2 linked regions of the Struthio camelus genome follow. The protein of the gene in region 2 interacts with the protein of the main gene of each other region in a pairwise test. Links are inferred from orthologs where the notes say so. Each region holds a gene or a part of one and is shown on either strand. Other genes may lie near its edges.

The links.
Region 1: the proteins of TOP1 (region 2) and BTBD1 interact in a two-hybrid assay, tested with the Homo sapiens proteins (2 studies listed by BioGRID). The link is inferred for Struthio camelus from reciprocal best matches to the Homo sapiens genes TOP1 and BTBD1.

Annotation. Positions count from the first base shown.
Region 1 is NC_090953.1:11,982,581-11,992,482, reverse strand, and holds the start of BTBD1 (BTB/POZ domain-containing protein 1), read right to left. Parts: upstream 3,959-9,902; 5' UTR 3,915-3,958; coding exon 3,535-3,914; intron 1-3,534.
Region 2 is NC_090959.1:7,166,092-7,175,531, reverse strand, and holds the start of TOP1 (DNA topoisomerase 1), read right to left. Parts: upstream 4,568-9,440; 5' UTR 4,041-4,567; coding exon 4,008-4,040; intron 3,438-4,007; coding exon 3,413-3,437; intron 1-3,412. UniProt on the Homo sapiens protein: Releases the supercoiling and torsional tension of DNA introduced during the DNA replication and transcription by transiently cleaving and rejoining one strand of the DNA duplex.

The DNA.
Region 1 (9,902 bases), on a different chromosome or scaffold from region 2:
ACTTCTTCTCCATTATCTCCCTCCCTCCCTCCCTCCCTCCTCCCCTTCCCCTCAGGAGTTTCAGACTCACAGGAAATAATCTGCTCTTTGGACACTGATTAATTTTATTTTCACCGGGGGGGAAGAGGAGGGTAGTGGAGGAACACTTTTAGTGGACAGAACAGTTTCCCAAGGAACCACTCAACCACTGATTTTAAATAAGCATCTCAAATTTTATGCCACTTTTCTTCACTCTCAAGTTAGCACTTCCTTCTCCCATAGCCCTAGCATCTTCCGAACAACTGAAATATTCTCACCAATATAAAAAACACAGAGATCTTTCCCAGTTAGCCGTGGTTACCCCTCTATTTACTGCTTGTCAAAATCCTCTGCTAAGACATCCAGGTTAATTTTATCCTATGTTGCCACTTCCCTGTATACTATGATCAAAGTACAAGTTAAATTACTCTAAAATGCATTTTAAAATGAGAATGAATAGAAATTAAAAAAAAACTTATTAAAAAACAAATCCAAACCCTAAAACAGAAACACGTAACGCTAGTATGAAACTACTTTGACTTTCCAGATCTCAGCTACTCAAGTTACGCAGTTAGAAATATGCAAAAGAAGTTGACTAATTACAAATCAGAAAAAGCAGACACAAACTTTGGGGCTTTGACTTAATTTCGAGTTCTTAAGGATTTATCTGCCAAACTACTGAAGCAGTCAGCTACTTTAGAAAAACTTCTTTGGCTCATGTTTGAGAACTCTTCAGGCAAGAGGAATACCGGATGGTAAGCCAAAACACACACCACAGTCGTTTTTAGGCCCCTGAGCTCAGCCAATTATTTTCTAAGACTGTTTTCTCCCCCCCCCCAGTAAGTTCCAAAAGTCTCCTCCTCTTCCATTTTTACAGTTAAGATTTTAGCCAAAATGATAGATGAGGAGGACATGCACAACTTTCTTCAGGGTAAAAAGAACCTCCAAAACTTATTACTCAGATTACAGCAGTACTATCAATTAAAGCTTTTTTCTATTATTTTTAAATATGTTAACTCTAAAAATCTGGTATTTTAGAGGCCCCTTTCCGAAAAAAGGTAGCAATTGTAGCCCCATTTTTAAATCGTGCATGAATATATCCAAAGAAAAATTGAAAAAAACAGATGTCACATGTCACGTTAACTTGGTAAATATTCGCTGTTTAAATTGTGCCATTTCTAACTGCTTGTTTCCGCCCCATAAATTTAATTCTGAAACTATGATGTATTTGGCAACAAAACACTAACACTGAGGAAAGTTTACCTCATAAGACAAGGAAATAACAGTCTCACCGGACAGATGAAGACTATCAGTTTAAGAAAAACAGAAAAATTTTCATACAAATATTTTTTGGGGCATTAAACGGCAAGTAGGATTATCTTTACCAAACATATCAACTACAGACAGGACCTAACACAATGTATGAGTAAGTAAAACAGAAACGATTTGTTGAACATTAAATAGTTAGTAAATGCCCTCTAAAAAAAATGTACATCAGTTTAATTTTTTACTTTACCTTCATGCTTTTCTGCTATGTATAGGCAAAGATCCCAATTGACCTAACTCCTAGCCAATACAGCTCTGGTTGGCCTGTGCAGAGATTAACAGAGGGTCCCACAAAAGGCTATCACCACCAGCTGGCAAATTTACTAACGATAGACAAAAGAGGATAATAATGCAAGGTAAAGTTCTTGTGCCTCTTCTGGTCAACACTGGGAAAAAACAGGTGGTCTTATAGTCAGTATAATTTAAAAATAGTGTGTACTGGTATGGGAAAAATCCAGTACTGGTCTGTATTAAAGAAGTTTTCCTCAGATGTGTTTAACATTGTGTTGCAATTTATATTTATTCCGATATAAGCTCAAAAGATACATATAATAGAGAAGAATGTCCTAAAAAAGCTGCAATGTATTTCAAACCAAAGGAGATTTCAAATCCGAGAAGCTTTATCAGTTCATCAGTCTGGTGATATTTAGACAAGATGTAAGTATAATAAGTTTATTTACGTAAGTCCCCAGGCCATTACGTACTAGCAAGCATAAGATGGCTTTTGTTTGATTGCAACAACATCTCTTCATTCACTTTTACAGTTTTCATGTATTATCCTTCTTACTGTTACTTAGAACTCAACCACTTTGGCGTTCACATTTTTATCCAAGCTAACTTATCCAATTATATCCACTTTTCACTGTACCACATTTTTCAACATGCAGCTATATAAACACACGCACACACACATATACATGCGCGCTTTCATTTACTTTTAACCCTGGAAAAGATTTTTGTTTGAAAGACATTTCCTACTATTTTCCACTCTGCTACACAAACTCTTCATCTCATATTTTCACTACTCTCCAGTTGCTGAGAATCCAGATAATCAATACAATTAATTTGCTAATGAGCAACACAGCAGAAGTCGCTGCTGCTGTGTCTTTTTTTTTTTTTTTTTTTTTTTTTTTAAAACTAACCCACCCTCCGCCTGACAAATCAGTTGCTCCCATTACTAAAAGGAGTAGATGACTCCTCACTGTTAGGCCTGTTAGGTCCCAAAACAAAAGAGAAAGCTGTGAAGGCTTTGGAGTTTTTTTACTTCTCCATTACAGAAAGCTCTGAGACACTGAACTTCTTTCCAGACCATGGTATTACTTGTGTCCTAAATCTCTATTACAAAAATGTTTTATATATTTTATGAAGGATTTACCTAGCAGAGTTTCCTTCAGAAAAAAAACGTAAAGATTAAGCAGTTTAGTCATATTACTACACCTCAGCAATGAGTCTCACGCACAAAACTGCCAGTAATCGTTTCTATGAATACCGCGGATTTTATTTACCACTACCCTGAGTAAAAGTATAGGATGGGTAAATTCATCAGTTTTGTGATTATGAGAAGCAGCAGATCCTATTCTGCCCAAGTTTGAAATTACTAACCCATTTTATATTTTTTTTCCCACCACTGCACTGATGATCTCACCTAGGTGGTTTATGTGTAAAATTAGTTTATTAACTGTCTTCTGCTACACATGCCCCCTCCACCCAAAAAATATCTGAAATAAGTACAACTGTAATAGATATTACTTTGGCAAAAATATACAACAATCTACTACCATCCCTGAAAACGAAAAACAAGCAGCAAGATTAATAAAATTTCAAAGCAAGCATCAAATGAAGTTAAAAGCATTGTACAACAGCCTGGGTTCTTTTGGGCCATTATCAGAAGGTGGAGAGTTGCAGCACTCACAGAAGAGATAAGGCAGCCACTAATTCCCACCGCCTCTCTTGAAAATAAATAAATAAATAAATAAATAAAAACCACGGAACCAGAAGATCAAAATAGACACGGCATCGGCGGACACCGCGGCTGCGCGGGGCAGGGAGACCCTGAGGCAGCGGCCGCCGAGGGGGCTCCCAGGCCGCAGGTGAGGCTGAGGGGCAGAACCGCCGGTGGGCGGAGGCCCCCAACCGCCAACCCCCCCCCCCCCCCCGCTCCGCGCCCCCCGGCCCCCGGCGCGGCCTGACCTCAGCAGCGCCAGGAAGGCGGCGGGCTCCACGTCGGGCAGCTCGATCTCGGCCGAGGTGGTGGCCATGCCACCGTTAAACATCGCGTCGAAGACGGCGCTGCCGGCCGCCAGCACGAAGCGGTGGGCGGGGATGCGCTGCTGGCCCGGCCCGGGAGGGCCGCCGCCGCCGCGGGGGCTGCCCTTGCCCACCACGAAGTGCACGTCGCTGAGGAGCTCGTTGGAGAAGAGGAAAGCGAAGCGCTCCCGCAGCGAGCCCTTGGTGGCCTGCCAGTTGTACAGCGGCTCCCGCTGCAGCACCGCGCCGGCCTCAGCGGCGGCAGCGACAACAGCAACCGCCGCCTCCGCAAGCGCCCCCGAGCCGGCGGCCGCCGCCGCCATCGCCGCTCAGGGCGGCACCGACACCCGCACCCCCTCCGCGCCGCCGGTCGCCCGCCCCCGCGTCAGGCGCTAACCGGCGGCGGCCGCGCCGCGCATGCGCCCCCGCGCCGCGCAGGCTCGCGGCGGCCCGGCGAAGCCGTTGCCGCCGGGCTGCCCTTCCCTCACGGCAGGCGCAGGGGGAGGGGGAGGAGTGGCGGCGGCGGCGCTGAGGCGGGGAGCGGCCGCCGAGGGGCGCGGCCGGCCACTCTCCGCGGGGGCGGCCGCCGAGGGGCTCCTCCTGGCCCGGGCGCGGTGCCTCGCAGCCCCCGTCGGTGCGAAGGGGCTCGGGGGCTCCCGGCGGGCGGCAGAGGGGGAGATGCCGCAGCCTCTCGGCTGAAGCGGTGCCGGTCAGTAACGGTCGGTAACGGTCAGGCGCTGTCACTTTGCGCAGCCGTCGGGGCTTCGGCGCCACGCTCACCGCGCGCGGTGCCTCACAGGAAAAAAAAAAAAAAACCGCCTGGATTCAACCTCGCAAAAGCTACAAAACAGTAATACTCTCTTCTCAGCGCAGGCGAGTTCGTCTGAGCCGCGCTGCAGGTGCCTGAACCGGTGTCACCAACCTGGTAGTTTTCTCCGGACGAACGTTACCGTGCGTGGGGCGGGAACGCGCTCCCGCGGGAGGAGAGACCGCAGGCGGGCAGCAGGCAAACCCGGCTGCGCCCAGCCCGCAGCGCTGCCGCGCTCACGGAAATCTGTGCTGCGGTACCTGTGAGCGAACACGTCCTGCAGCTGTGTTGTTAAAGCGCGTGAAATCCAAATTCATTTTTATGATGAACGTTATACCTGTTTCCTTGTGATAACTGAAACAAATCGGGGATCGATACCTACTTTAACTGTGTGTGCATTTCTGAAATAATATTTTAAAGGCTGTTGGTACGTTTTTATATAAGAAATCCATTTACATTTCATATTTTAAACTTTTGAGGAGAAAACAGAACAAAACAACTAGCAATAGTGAATGTAGCAGAGAGCACATTTTTTGTGCCTAAAGCACTATCCATACAGTTGAAAGTCTTTGGACCAGAGAATGTAGGACGGTGAATCAAGTTGGCAAATTCTGACAAACCAACTAGGATCTTTTTTAATTTACTGCCTTTGTGGCTTTTGAGAGGAAAAAGTGTGTTTGTGTGACAAGGGTGAAATAAAAGACCTCCCTACCACCGATATTTGCTACTGGACGGGCTGCACTTAAGTTTCTCAGGGCAGTAGTTCTGTGAGAGCGGGAAAGGTGATACTCGTAAATCTGTGTAATTCATCATAACATTTCAATGTAATAGTGTCTTTACAAAATCTTACACTGTCCTACATTATTGTGTTCAACTGAAAAAACTTCTGAATTGCCCCCACAGTTCAGTGCTTGCTGCAGAACAGAGACTGAATTTTAAAATATATGATACACAAAATAAAGTTGGTGAGATCTGAATTAAATTTCTCTGGAACTGCAAGATCCTTTTCACAGTAAGGGGAAACTAAGCCCTGTCAGTTGAAAAATAAAGTGGATCCTTTTGCCATCTACTGGAGTTTTGCTGTAAATACAGCAGAAATTTAAATTATGGAGCTGAAAGCTATTTATCATAGCTCCTGACTTGTCAGCATTTATGGAAGCATGTGGCTAAAAGAGGAACAGAATATGTCACCACTCTGCATTTAGGTTTATAATTAGGACAAAACTGAGACCAAGCAAACGTCGTCTGCTTCGCAGAACAAATTTTACAGAAGCTTAAGGAAGATGGAAGCAATTTAATTGGGGTAGGCCATCGTGGGAAAGGACATAAGAAGACAGAGTATACAAACCACAAGACAGCAAGTAGATGCTATATTAAAAATAAATCAGGTAATGCTCAGTCAGAAGAATTAAGCTATTGCCTTTGTGCTTTCCTTGTCCCAACGTGGACAAAGACTAGAGAGTGGGAGAGACCCAGATTCCCCTAGCAGTGTAGGGACTGGAAGAACAGAAAACTGAGATTCACCACACTGCTTCAGGCCCATCTCGGGGAACCTGAAGGCACTAGCTAGGAACTATTACTTGAGAAGTGATTTTGGGGGGTGAAGAGCCTTTTCAGGAAGGAAAAATGAATCAGTTGTCATGGGAGATGGAAAACCCCATGAGGGAATTGGTTACACTGTGTACACGTGGAAAATTTTTTTTTTCAGTCATGGAATGATCTGGGCGTTAGAAGTTCTGCACAGTTGTCTTTCTCCTTTCACCTTTTTGTGTTCGCTCACAGGTCAGTCTGTCAGCTGGGAGCCAACAGACATGATTGTCCTGCTTGTCTCCTGCAATGTGAACATACTGTTGGTAACGCACTAGCGAAAATTAACAAGCATGGAAAAGGGGTAAGGCAAAAAGCAGAAATAGTAGGCCAAAGCATGAAAAGGAAAGAGGCTGGGGCAGACAGAACATGTAAGGTAACTTCACAGAGGAGAAATTGTAGCGAGGAAGGGAAGTTCTGCAGGAGAGAAAGAATGGGAAAGAACTATAAAACAGGCTGACAAAGAAAGCTGAGAAATAAAATGAGGGAAACAAACAAAAATTAAAATAACATAAAAGAAATCATAAAACTATATAAGCGCTCCCCCCCCCCCCAAAAAAAAAAAAAGAAAAACTGGAAAGGACAGATAAAAGGAGAAATGAGACTTGGATGCCCATATACAGATCAGCTAAAAGCCAAATGCACTAATTTAAACAGTTTTGGAAGTAGAGAGCTGCAGAAATATTAAATAACAGATTTCCTTTTAAAACTGGGCTTTTCTGCATGTAGACAATAAACTTCAGACATTTGTTTCACCTTATAATTTTTATGCCAGCTTCCTCCTTTAAAAAGTCAGCTAGTCTTTCATTGGCGTTATCAGTAGATGGAGCACAGCCATTTTTAAAGGTGATGTCATGGGATTGTATTTACCAGTCTAAATCATAAATAATACACAATGCATTTCCTAAAAGGGGTTACTCACGAATGTCACTAAAATATTCTCCTGTTGTTTGCTTTCTTAACATGCTCAGTTTTTATCTAGGAAATGTAATAGAAATTAATACAGATAAAAATATTTATGTAACATCAACAGCGTGAATTGGCCCAGAAGAACTTTTTGTTTGATCTCATGTAACAGAATGGCTACAAATCAAGGGCTGCAGACAAAAGTTCAACAGTATTATATTATATTAGCTGAGAAGGTTGTGCTGATCACTAGCCAGCAAAACAGAAGGTCAGGGAGCGTCCACGCCTTTGAGAAACATGCGTCCAAGGTCTACACAGGGGCCTGAGCTAGCTCATGTTGACCTGGTGCTTTTTGTTAAGAAAATTCATAAAAGAAGAACTTTCTAATCACTGAGGTTCCTTTACCTGACAGCAGGGAGACAGAGGAGAAAGTGCGTTGACATATACTGAAAAAATATCAGAGAATTTAGTGACCAAACTTGGAGGATTTCTGAGATAGTTGTGATGCCAGGGTTGTCCCAGAAGCACAGGAATGCCTGCCCAGAGACCCTGTACTTCCCTGCCAGGAGTACAGGGCCAGTTCTGTGAGAGCCATCAAAGGGTTTGAGTTACAAAGCATATTGTTTTCGGTCATTTGTTCCTGACTTTATTTAAATTCTCCTCCCTTTCCTTATTTTTCCCACATGAACTCAGCTTTGTGTATGTTCTAAGTAACTACTTGTTATGATCTTAGTTTTTGAGCTGGCACACAACTTTACAGGGATTAATTATTGTTCTCCTAAGCAGTTAGCATCCTTCCTCTGCTTCAGGACGGAAAAGAATAATTCAGAGCAAATTACAGATTTGTTTCTGATTGAACTTCCTGGTTGGGGCCAATTGTGGCCATTTGATGACATCTTTTTTCTTTCCATGCTCAGTTGGATACTTAAAATTCCCTACATCTGCTCCATGCCATTGCTGTGAATGACAGACATGCATACTACCATTCCCTAACTAAATTACTAGTAGCATTACAGTTACAGAAACAGTTATCTCTTTGAGCTCTTTATTGTGATTAGTATTATTTCCTTATCTCTAGCTAGCATTAACCTGTACTGTTGTGATGTGGGATCTGCAGGTAATGTAACCTTGCAGTTTATGGCGCACTGCTGAATTCCTTTGGCATCCATGCAAGCACAGAACAAAAACTCAAGGTCTTAGATTTGGGGAACACTGGAAGGCAGGGATTAGTTTTTCTCTAGTGTTCCATAGAGTGCCTAAACAACGTTGATAAAAAAGCCAAAATAAGAGCAATTGATATTTGATCCTCTGTTATACATTCTACTGTGATCTAAAACGGACCATAATATGTGTGCAACTGTCTCAGAATTTTTTACATTTTATAATTCTTTGCCCTATAATTTCTGCAAGTAATTCTTGCATGTGAGCACTGTATTGCACATTTTCAGCTTTGCTGATTAGCTCTCCTGGAGTATATAGGTTGTTATGTGCATGTGCTCCCAGTTATATTGACATACTTCTCAGACTTCAGTGATAATACTCCTAATTTCTACATTATTTTATATCGCAATTATTGCTTACATTACACTGTTGTAGTAAACGTGCCTGCTAATATATATATTTCTGAGAATATTTTCAGAATCCTAATTCAAAGAAGATGCGTGCAACCAGCAAAAATCTCACAAGGAAATTTTGATTCACTCAGCTCTACCAATTGTGGAGGTAGCTCTCTCATTTTTCATTCTGCACAGTTCCTTATTTCAAAATATAGAGCAAAGAACAACAGCAACATTCTTCACATCTTTTATCTGACAAGTGCTTTACAAACCCAATTAATTAAGCCTGAGAAAATGTCCGGGTGTTCTTAGACTCACCATGTATCTATTTGAATAGATCATTTTGAATTCTGACTTGGCTGGCTCTCTGGCAAAACTCTGATACATTTTTCCCATAATTAAATGTTATTTTACTGCATAACTGCAGAAGCAAATGTGGGGAATTTCTTTTATTGGTTATTACCACCATCTCTTTATGACTGAACAGTGAATACTTTGTGAAGTCATTTACTTTCCCGTCCCTGCTCAATGTGTGCAGTCTATTGAGGCACAGGAGCACTTCAGGCTGGCACACATTTCCTCTATTTCTAACAGGGTATTTAGTTAGCAGTTTGATTTTCACATGATTAGCAAGATTCTTACTGAGAAGCCACACTCTTGCCATTTACAGTTTAAGCCAGATAGCATAACAAAATACTCCCTTTTTGCTCTGACGCCCATTAACTTTATTGAGATGTTTCTATCCATCTTAGATTATTCATTAGCAAACAGATACGCCGTAACACACAAAGCAGCTCTATTTTTGGGGGTGCTGATATTCAATTTTGAAAGTGAAATGGACACTAACCACTAATTCCTCTTTGCGTGCTTCTTTGGTAGTGTGATTGCTGCTGGAGAATCCCCCCAAATCCTCAGCAGATCATTAGCACGTGGCCTTCTGACCCCCAGTGCATACCATATGAACTACATTATATTGCCTCTGGTGCAGCACACAGTCTGTGATTTACAATACAGTATCATTTATTAGGTCTTATAGTCTCAACTAACAAGAAGTTCAGAAATAGCATAGCTTGGATTTAAAGCTGTTGGAGGGTTGCAATTATGTGTGGTATAAGCTGTTCCTTCAACAAATGAACACAAGTCCAAACATCAATCTTTGAAATTCAATCATTATTTAGACCATTGCTTGTTGACTTCTTTTGCCTTAAAATTTGTTTGCAAAAAAGAGGAAGTGTGCTCTAAAGAATGTATCAGCTTTACTCAATAAAAATTGAATGATACAAGTTGTTTTGTAGTAGGATGGTATTTTGTAGCTGGCATTATAATGCAATGAAAGTTTGCTACTTGGCAGAGCCATATGTGAACACATGAGCAATGCTTACATGAGCTATAAATAGCATCCCTTAATCCTTGCATTGATCTTCATGTGCTTGCTTAAGGTTCACTTATCTATA
Region 2 (9,440 bases):
ACGATAATGAATCTTATAGAATTCTGTTCCTGGACTGATGAACAGCCAACACATTCTGTTACACTGCAGGAATAGCACTAAAAGCATTTCACAGTAAGTGCAATTTAGTAGCTTTGGACCGATTTTTACCATATTGCAAACAAAAATAACTTATCTGCTGCACTCCGCAAACATAATAAGAGAACTGAAAGTCGAGATAAATTCCATTTAGTCTCAGTACTGTCTGCAGTAGTAAGAGGTCGTTATAGTTGAACTTAGTAGCAAAGCTCTTACCAGCTAAGCTAAACAGGATCCAAATAGGTTTTGCATCTGAAGAGATTTGAAACTTACGGGGGCGGGGGGATAAAACAAAAAAAACAAAAACAAAAAAAATCCCCAGGAATGATTTCCTCCCTCAGAAGTTTGTAGTGACCTAAAACTCACATATGCTAAAAAGAGGCTGTTCTTAATGACCAAACTGTACTTGGAGATGACAGTTTTAGACTACCATCTCCCTTCTACAGCGGTGCAGATTGTGAGGATGGAACTTTAAAAAACAGGCCTACTGTTTCAGCTCAATATTGTTCTCAGGATGGTTTGCAAGCAGCCACTGCTAGAACTGAGCACGGAAAAGTCTTTGCAGTGCATACTGCCACTAAAAATATAGTTAAGGTGAAAAAAAAATTCAATATGGCCAAATTAAACAGGAGGGAGAATCTGGATATTCAGATGGAATGCAATTACCCAAGTTGGAATTTGCCCAGGATACACTTGCTTAGAGCGATCTGGCTATTTAATGACAAGAAATAGCCAGAAACACATATTTACATTTACAATTGGCATCCTCTCTCGTACCCAACACTATCCTGCTACCAATGAAACTGGTGTGTAATCAGACTTAAGATCTTAGCTACAACCAGGGTGCTCCTTGGTGACCTCCAATTAGCTAGTAGATCCACCCCCACCCACCTTACTTCAGTTGCAACATCTTGTGTGCTTAAAACTCAAAGTAGTATGTCCACTGACCTAGATATGAAAGATATTTGTAACAACAGGAAACTTCAAAGTGCTTAAGTTACTCTATCATTGATACAATATCCAGAAGTCACTCAAAACACTGTTTATTAGCAGAACCCTTTAGGACTGGTACATTTAACTTTTAGAGGCTACCAGCAACAAAAACTTCCCTTCCCCCTAACGTAAAGGGAAAAGGCAGCCTAAAAGGAGGCTTTGGCTCTACTGTAAGAGCTGTTTGATAATAACCAAAGTACGAAGCAATTCTAAACACCTGGATGAAGTAATTTGAGATTCCTGCTGCCCCCATCTCCGCCACTAAACAGGATCAAAACAAGAATTAGAGCTTGAGCTCTCACCTATGCCTAAAAGAGAAACGATATTCTCAGATCAGCGTGTGACGTTTCTGACACAAAAGCGTAAGGTACTCCTGGGAAGAGGAAACAAGCCTGAAAAAAACTTGGAGCAAAAGGAGGTGACAGGTTTTCAGGAATATCAGTCTTGGCCCAAGGTCAGAGAGGACAGTGTCTACTCATCATTATTCCCTTACAAAACTAAAAGGGTTACACACAGCTTTCATCACTGAAGAGGATTTTGGATTTTAGGAGCCTCTGATCAGCCACAATGATGTTTCATGACAGCCATAAAAATAAATTCAATGGGCAAATACAATAGGAAGAAAAGAGCGCTGATACCTAAACTGGTATGAACTTGTTCGGTGTGTTTGATTCACCAGTAACACACTTTTTCCATCTAGATGTCTTACTTTACATCTGTGTAATGACTTCCTCCAACACATAGTAGAAGTCAGAATTGAAGGAGTTTTAAGCGCTGTATGCCTAAAACCGTCCTAAGAATAAAGCAGCATATAGTTATAATGAAGGAGAAAAAAACCCTCCTAAGATGTTCACTAGAAGTTGGAATGGAATAGTTGAACAAGCATCACTTCCCCTGTTTAAACCAGTAAGTAGTTGAAGCTTTTCAGGGGTTACTTTTCCCGAAATAGCAGTGACCCTTTGGCAAATATTTCCCAGCATAAGGCTACAAGTATTCAAATACATGCTTGCATTTAAGTTGTTTCAAGAATTCCTACTGCATTTTCAGGGAACTCCACTTCCTCCCTTTCTTCTGCTAAGGATTATTCATAGAGCCCTACTGTAGCTTCAGAGTAGAAAGAAAAGTTTAAAAGCTATAGATTTGAAACCGCATGCTCCTATTGTACATACACAATCACATCAATGAATGGATAAGAGAAAGAGAGGAGCACACAAACAGGGATCTGTAAATATTTACGTGCAGTAGCTTGCAAAGCAACCAGGCACACAGACATTGTGCAGAAAGGTGTGCTGAAAATCAGTATTGCTGTAAGAATGCATTTAGCCAAGCTAAGGTATCTTCTCTTCAAACCTTTTTGTCCTCTACCACCTCAACAGTTAGGGGACAGCTCTGAGCTCCTCAGACAACCCCATCAGTAGGACAATAACACACGCATGCAAAGGTAGGTTTTTACCTCCTCCTCCCCCCAAATCTGCCATGTACCAGGCTGGGGGGAAAAGAATTTGCTTCCTGGAAAAATGCAGCAACACTCAAAAAAAAAAAAAAAGTCGGTAGCTGTCAAGCTTCTTAAAAAACATAATTATGTATACATATAGACACACATATGTGTATGTATATAACCTTTCTAACCAAAACAAAGAGTCAACTTGCAAACTTTCTGAAGTGATGCTGTCTACCTTTCTGGAATTGTCTATATTATCTTTTTTTAATCTTTGCTTTTTTTTAATTAAAAAGCCCCACCCCAAAATGTAAAGTTACATCAATTAAACAGCAAGGAATGAAATAAGAGTGATCTTAAAATGGATGCAGCAGAATCTTTTAAAGAGCAACATGTTGCAATCACCTTTCATTTTAGGGGAAGGGAGGGATTCCCTGAAAGGAACAGAGCAGGGGAGCAGTAGAGGGGGGGGAGAGGGAGGCTGCGATAAAAACCAGCTCGGGGGTTTATTTTAGCTAAAAACTTTGCTTTTGTGCCTGCTCAGAAGGGGCCGTGGGCCGGGGATCGGTGCCGGGTTCCTCTGCGGGAGGCTCCTTTTCGGCAGCTCAGGGAGGAGGAGAAGCAGAGAAAGCCACACAGCAGAGAGGAGAAAAAGAAAATGGCGCAGAGACTAAGTCCCGACCGTCGACAAGGCGACTTTCCAGGGAGGAACGGGGCCCAAAGGGACCCCCGGGAGGGCCGATGGGCGCGGATCGGGGGCCTCCGCAGCCCCCTCTAGGGGAAGAGGGGGCCGGGGGGGGCCGAGGCCCCCGGCAAAGGGGCGCTTTGGGCGGCTCGATGGGAACAATGGGGCCGGTGAGCGAGGAGCCGGGACTTAGTCTCTGGGACGCCATGTCTGTGCGCGGCCGGCGCGGCCTCACTCACCGTTCGCTCGGAAATCCGCCTCGATCTGCGGGAGAGGGGAGACAGGGAGACACACCGTGAAAACACCGTCCCGGCACGGGTTTTTTTCCCCCCCCCACTTTAGGGGGAAGAAGGGGCGCGCGGGGGTTTCTCTCCCCCCTCCCCACCCGCTTAATTCTCATTTTTAGGAAAAGTGGACAACAAGCGAGAAATAACCAGCCCGCCGCACGAGTGCCCTCCGCGGCGGGCGGCAGGAAGCTGCCCCCCGGCACCCGCACGGCTCCGGGGTGCCCCCGCCAGCCCCCTCCCCTCCTGCCGGCAGGGGGCCGCTCACGAGTCCCTTCCCCCACCCCACCTCCGCCTGGGCACAAACGGCGGCGGCGCCCCGCCACGGCGGGGGCAGCCCGGCTTGACAGGGCTCTCCCCGGGGCCGCGGGGGGGCCCCGGCTGAGGGGCGGCAGGAGGGCAGCGCCGCCCGGCTGAGGGCAAGGCGGTGGGAGGGGGAGGGGAGGGCTCCAGCCGGGCCCGCCGCGCCGACCCTGAGGGGAGCGAAGGGCCCCGCGGCAGGGCGCCCCCGGGGAGCGGGGCTCCCCGCCGGGGCGGAGGGCGCTCTCACCTGGGAGTCGTTGTGCAGATGGTCGCCGCTCATGCCGGAAGGCGCCGGAGGCCTAGCGGAGCGCAGCGGAGAGGAGAGCCGAGCCGCCGGGGAAGCGCGGAGCCTGAACGCGACGGGAGAGCGCAGCCCCCTGGCCCCGCCGCCGGTTGTGTAACAGACTAAGTCCTTATTTCCGCGCACTGCGCAGGCGCGGCGCCTTTTAGCGGCGGGGCGTGGCCACGGGAACGTTAGCGAGAGCGTTGGGGCGGGAGCCGGGAAACGGCCGCCCGGGCGTTTGCACCCGAGCCACGCCCCACCGCGCGCGCGAGACGCCGGCTACATTTGCATACGCAGGCCCCGCCCCACTGCCCTCCTCCCCCCCTCCCACGCGCGCGCGCGCGCTGAACGCCGGCTCTCTCTTTACATATCCGGTCCCGCCTCTTCCTCCCGCCCTTCCAATCGCGCGACGGAAGCAAGCAACATTTGCATACCCGACCCCGCCCCGCTGCTTCGCGCCCCCTCCAACACCGTTGAGGGAACCCGGCGCATTGTGTAAGGACCCGTTCCCCACTGAGCGCGGAATGCGCGTGCGCCCCCCGTGGCACCCTGCGGGCAGCCGCGCTCTATTTGCATACGACGCCCCGCCCCTCGCGGCGCAGGCCCCGCCCCTGGGGGGGTCGACCGGGGGAGATGGCGGCGCCCTGGCGGCAGGAGGAGGGGAGCGGGCCGGCGGCCGCCCCGCGGGCCGAGGGAGCCCTTCCCCTCCGCAGCGCCCCCGGTGACCGACGCCGTTACAGCGCGAGCGCCCTGCCGGGCCTCGCGGGACTCCCGTTACAGCGCCCGGTGGCTGGATGTCCTCGGGGGCGGCGTGGGGCCTGCCCTGCGCCTCGCCAGGCCTGGCAGGCCGCGGCTCTGCCGCCGGGGCCGGTTTGGGCTCCCGGCTCCGCTCCCGCCGGCCCAGCCCGCGCCCGGCGCGGCGGCTGCGGCCTGCGCACACGCCCAAGGCGTCGTCCCGGCCGGGCGGCTCCGCGCGGTGTGCGTCTTCCCTCTGGAAGCGCCGCCGATGGCTTTTGGGGCCTGGCTGGCCTGTCTCTTAGTCCGGTCCTCCGCGGGAGGAACTCCGCCAGCCCGTCCACGGCACGCTCCTGCAAACCCTGCGGGAGCATAAGTGGTCTGATGTGTGTGGTTTGAGTTTGAGCGTTTCAAAATGAGACGGCTGTCAGTTCCTTTTGGCAGGAAGCGAGCTGTGCTTGCTGTGCGCATCTGCCCTGTAGAGAGGCTAAGCGTGAGGCTGACCTTTCATTATTAGTCTGACTACGCGTTTGTATCGGGGTGGAACTCGGAGGCCGCGGTAGCCATAAAAAGATTACTGTGTGCTAGGTGCTGTACAGGTGTCCTGTGTCCAGATAAAAATGACGCTGAGCAGGCATGCAGACAGGGTGGATTTGAGCTGAGATTAAAGGCAAGGACAGTGAGCAACGGTGTGGTGCAAATGGCAGCTTTCTGCTTTAAAAAAGAATCAGTCAGCAAGATTTTTCTTCTTATGTAAACAGCCCCTTAAATGTTTTCTCTCATGAGGAAACTGAGGGGAAAAACAAAACAAACGCTTTCTTTTCTTTTAGCTAATATGAGAATGAATCATGTGCCTCACTACAAAAACAAACCAAAATGCCCTCCGCAGCCCCAAATCTGAAGACGTCTATTTCAGGTCTGCAGCAGGTCTACTAAAGGGGCTTTCTCTCTGGTGTGCTGAATGGCAGGTTTAGTATGCACGGCTGGTACATGTCTCACAGGACTGCCTCCAGTCTTCTTGGAGCTTCCATCCAGTGCTGCAGCACAGGCTTTACCTTTCCCCGGCTTCTTTATACAACCAGGGCTTTGATTTGACACTAAAATAATCCAGCACTGCCAGGCTATCAGAAGCGATACATCAAAATGTAAGCAGCGACAGCAGCCACCTATTTGCACTGCATATTTATATCCTGTAAAGGGAAAACTCTGTCACTTTCTTGCTGTCTTCAGAAGAGGATCTGAGGACTTCCTTTTTTTACTGAGGGCAGGCAAGTATTTCTGGCTCTAGAGCTGTTTATTATGCAAACTGCTTTAGTCACCGTAAGATTTTTAAGTATAAACATAATGAAAAGGCTGTTTAAGAGACACCTCTCCTGTTTGTCCCTAGCTTGCAAAAAGAGAAGGGGTCTCTGCTTTTGGAGCAGCCTAAGGTGCTCGTCCATCCTTGCTGCCACGCAGAGGTGTAAGGGAAACCAGCGAGCAGTTGTGTCCTCTGATGTGGGACAGCTTGGGAATGGTCTGGTACCTCGAGCTCTGGGCATTAGAAATTCCTAAAAGCCCTTTCTCTTGAAGCAGCAACTTCATTTTGCATCTTCCCCGAGAAGCCTTGCTCAGGTGTCCTTGCTCTCTCACAAGGGAAGGACCAGCTGCACTGCTCTGCAGCTGCAACTAGCCCTGTTCAGAGGAAAGGATCACTATCTTTTTGAGCAGCTGCCATCTTCAGAGGCACTTGCAAACACCCTTCTGGTTGCAAAAGGGAAACCCCTCAAGTGGCACAGGAGGCTCAGAGCTGCATTTTCTGTGAGAGACAGCTGACAGCCAGATACCACAGCTCTGAATGCAATAGGGACCTTCCCAGGTTGTTAGCTCTGGCCCTAATAAGGACCATTCCCATGTGGTGACAAGAAAAACCTTGTGCCACTGTTGTGAATACTGCACATAGGATGAAGCAAACCTTAGGCAGAGATGACCATATCCAAACCAGATGCAAGAGTCTCCCAAGGATCATTTCCCATCTGCTGCTTTTTGTCTTCTGTCTCCCATGGGATGCAGGGAGAATTTATAACTTGTTCAAAGGTGTATTCAACTGTAACACTTCTGTGGCTGCATCTGTTGCAACAAACTGTATGGAGGGAGGGAAAAAAAGCTTTCAAGACACTCTGCAAACCTGCAACCTGCACTGTGGCGTTCCAGGAATCTGTAGCTCATCTTGATGAGCGTAACCGCAAACCCCCCACGGACTGTTTACACCCGCTTCATGCGAAGCTTGCGTCTGTTGTTGCTAGGAACGATCCAAGCAAAGGAGGGAAAAGGCCCATACAGGACATACTGCCATATAGCTGGGCCTTTCAGTGGCAGAGGCTGGCAGTGAGGGGGTTAACATGATTAGGCTTGCTTCCCTGGCAAGACTGCACACCCCATGAAGATAAATGGGGGAAGTTCACACCTCTGAGTGCTGTTGTCTGGCTCGCTCTCTCTGAGGGCTCCCTGGGATGGCAGTACATCACCATCAGGTTAATGTAGCCTAGGTGATTGCTTGCAAAAAGAAACGTCTGGAAACTACATGTTTAAATTAAATCATAAATCATCCTGAATATAAAATCTGCAGGAAACCCTCCAGTTCTGGCGAACTGTGAGATTTGATTGATTTGGTGAACTTGGGGCTTCTTGCTGTGAACAGACTCAGGGTGCCCATTTGGGGAGAGGGAGGCGGGTGCCTTTCTCCTGACCAGCTTTGCAGCCGACACAGTGAATCAGGGTAGAATCCTACTTGAGCTCCAGCCTGTGTCCCCACGCTGCGCGCAGAAGAGATCTGTAAGTGCAGGAAATCCCCTTGCCGGACCAGGCTTGTGGCTGCACTGTGGTTGCAGCCTCCACTTCTGCAGTGCTTCTTTCTAAAAGCTGGAGCAGTGACTTCAGGAGACAAACAGCTTCCCCAAACTCGTGTCCTTCGCTCTGTGGTTGGATCCCTGGCTTTCAAGGGCATCTGCAAAGGGTTTACCAAAGGTCACCTCAAAGGCTGCACTGGGCTTTGGCTGCAGGGTGGGCACCGCCCCCCGTGAACGCAGCAGAAGTGGGGCTCCTGCCTGCCCGCCCGCCCTGGGCATCAGAGGGCACGGGCTCCAGGGCAACCTTGGCGCCTCAGACCAGAGCAACTCAGCTGGGTCGAGGCTTGCCTGTACTTCTGGGTTGTTCACTCGCCAGCTTTCCATGCAGGATATGGGGCGGCAGTTTCGGCCTGTCACCTTTGCTAGGCCTTGGGATGGAGATGGGTGCAAGTGGGGCTATTCGACAACAGTTTACTACTCAGAGTAGGTCACTTGCCAGCCCCAGCCAGGAACACTGGAGCAGGTAGGAACTAGCTCAGACTCTGCTGTTTCAGGGCTAAGAAGCTGAAAGTAAATACAAAAAGTGAGGCTCTAGGATCCATGCAGGACATGAAATCTATACATCCAAAACCCTGGACCCTCTGTAGCCCTCTTTCGGAACCATTACCTTGCCTTTAGCCACATGAGAAGCTGTTTGCAATGTTGCTTGTATTAATTCCCTTTTATATTCAACTTAAAATGCATTACATAACAAAGTAAGTTTCAATGCAAAGCAAGTTTGTGATTATATACAGTTATTTGTTACTTTTGATTCCATTATCAGAAGTTCAGGTCTTTGACCCTCATTCAGAGGGCAGGAAGAGACACAATGCTGCCAACTCCTCTGATGTTATTAGCAGTCCCAGGATGTCCAAATTTGCTTGTTTTGTTTTCCTTGATGTTGTTTCATAATAATCTCAACATTTATTTAGAGGCAGCAACAGGTTTCTAACCTTCATGTTTTATGGTTCTTCTGAATACGAAAGCAGTGCTTTCTACCAGCTGAGGATGTAGTGAAAGAACAGTTACGAGACATTTAAACCCCCCAAAATCTCATTTTTAAGATGCTGTCATGATTTTTGAGTCCTAATTCATCATTTATAAAAGCTTTAGTTAGGATACCTATATTACTAGTCTACAATTTTTCCACAACCAGAGAGACCTGCTTGATGTGCAGGATTCCAGATCAGTATAATCCTGAAGACCTGTTATCACTAGATCAGAGTGACACTTGTACAAAATAGGAACAGGCAGATATCTGACTCCCCTCATTTTTTATTAGGATAACTTGCTCAAAACGTTCATACCTATTATGTGCTGTTGAATGTTTTGAAACAGGATGATCTCAGTGGTTTGAGGGCTTTTTATTTTCTGCTTTAATAAACCATAGCAATTATTCACAGTTTTATATGTGCAACAGGGGAGCAAATTAAGCAGAAGCAGCAGATATCATTGTGAGTGGTAGCTTTCAAAGGTCAGTCTTAATTACTGAGTTTCACCTGCAAAGGGAGAAGCTTGCAAAAATCCCAGAAATTATTAGTTAGAAAATACTAGCTGTATCAGTTGTGCTGTATTGTGAGAAAGGTTGTGTTTGGTGCCATCATTTGCTGAGGTTAATGAAGCCAGGAGTGTTGCAAAGGTTGGTATGCAGTATAAAAAGGGGATTAAAAGAAGAACTTTTGGATCATTTTCTAAGGAGTAAATAACATGCATTTTCTCACTGAGCCAGTTAACATACATAGGAACATGTACCTTGCTATATGACTATTGCCTTACATGGAATACAGTCATGTAC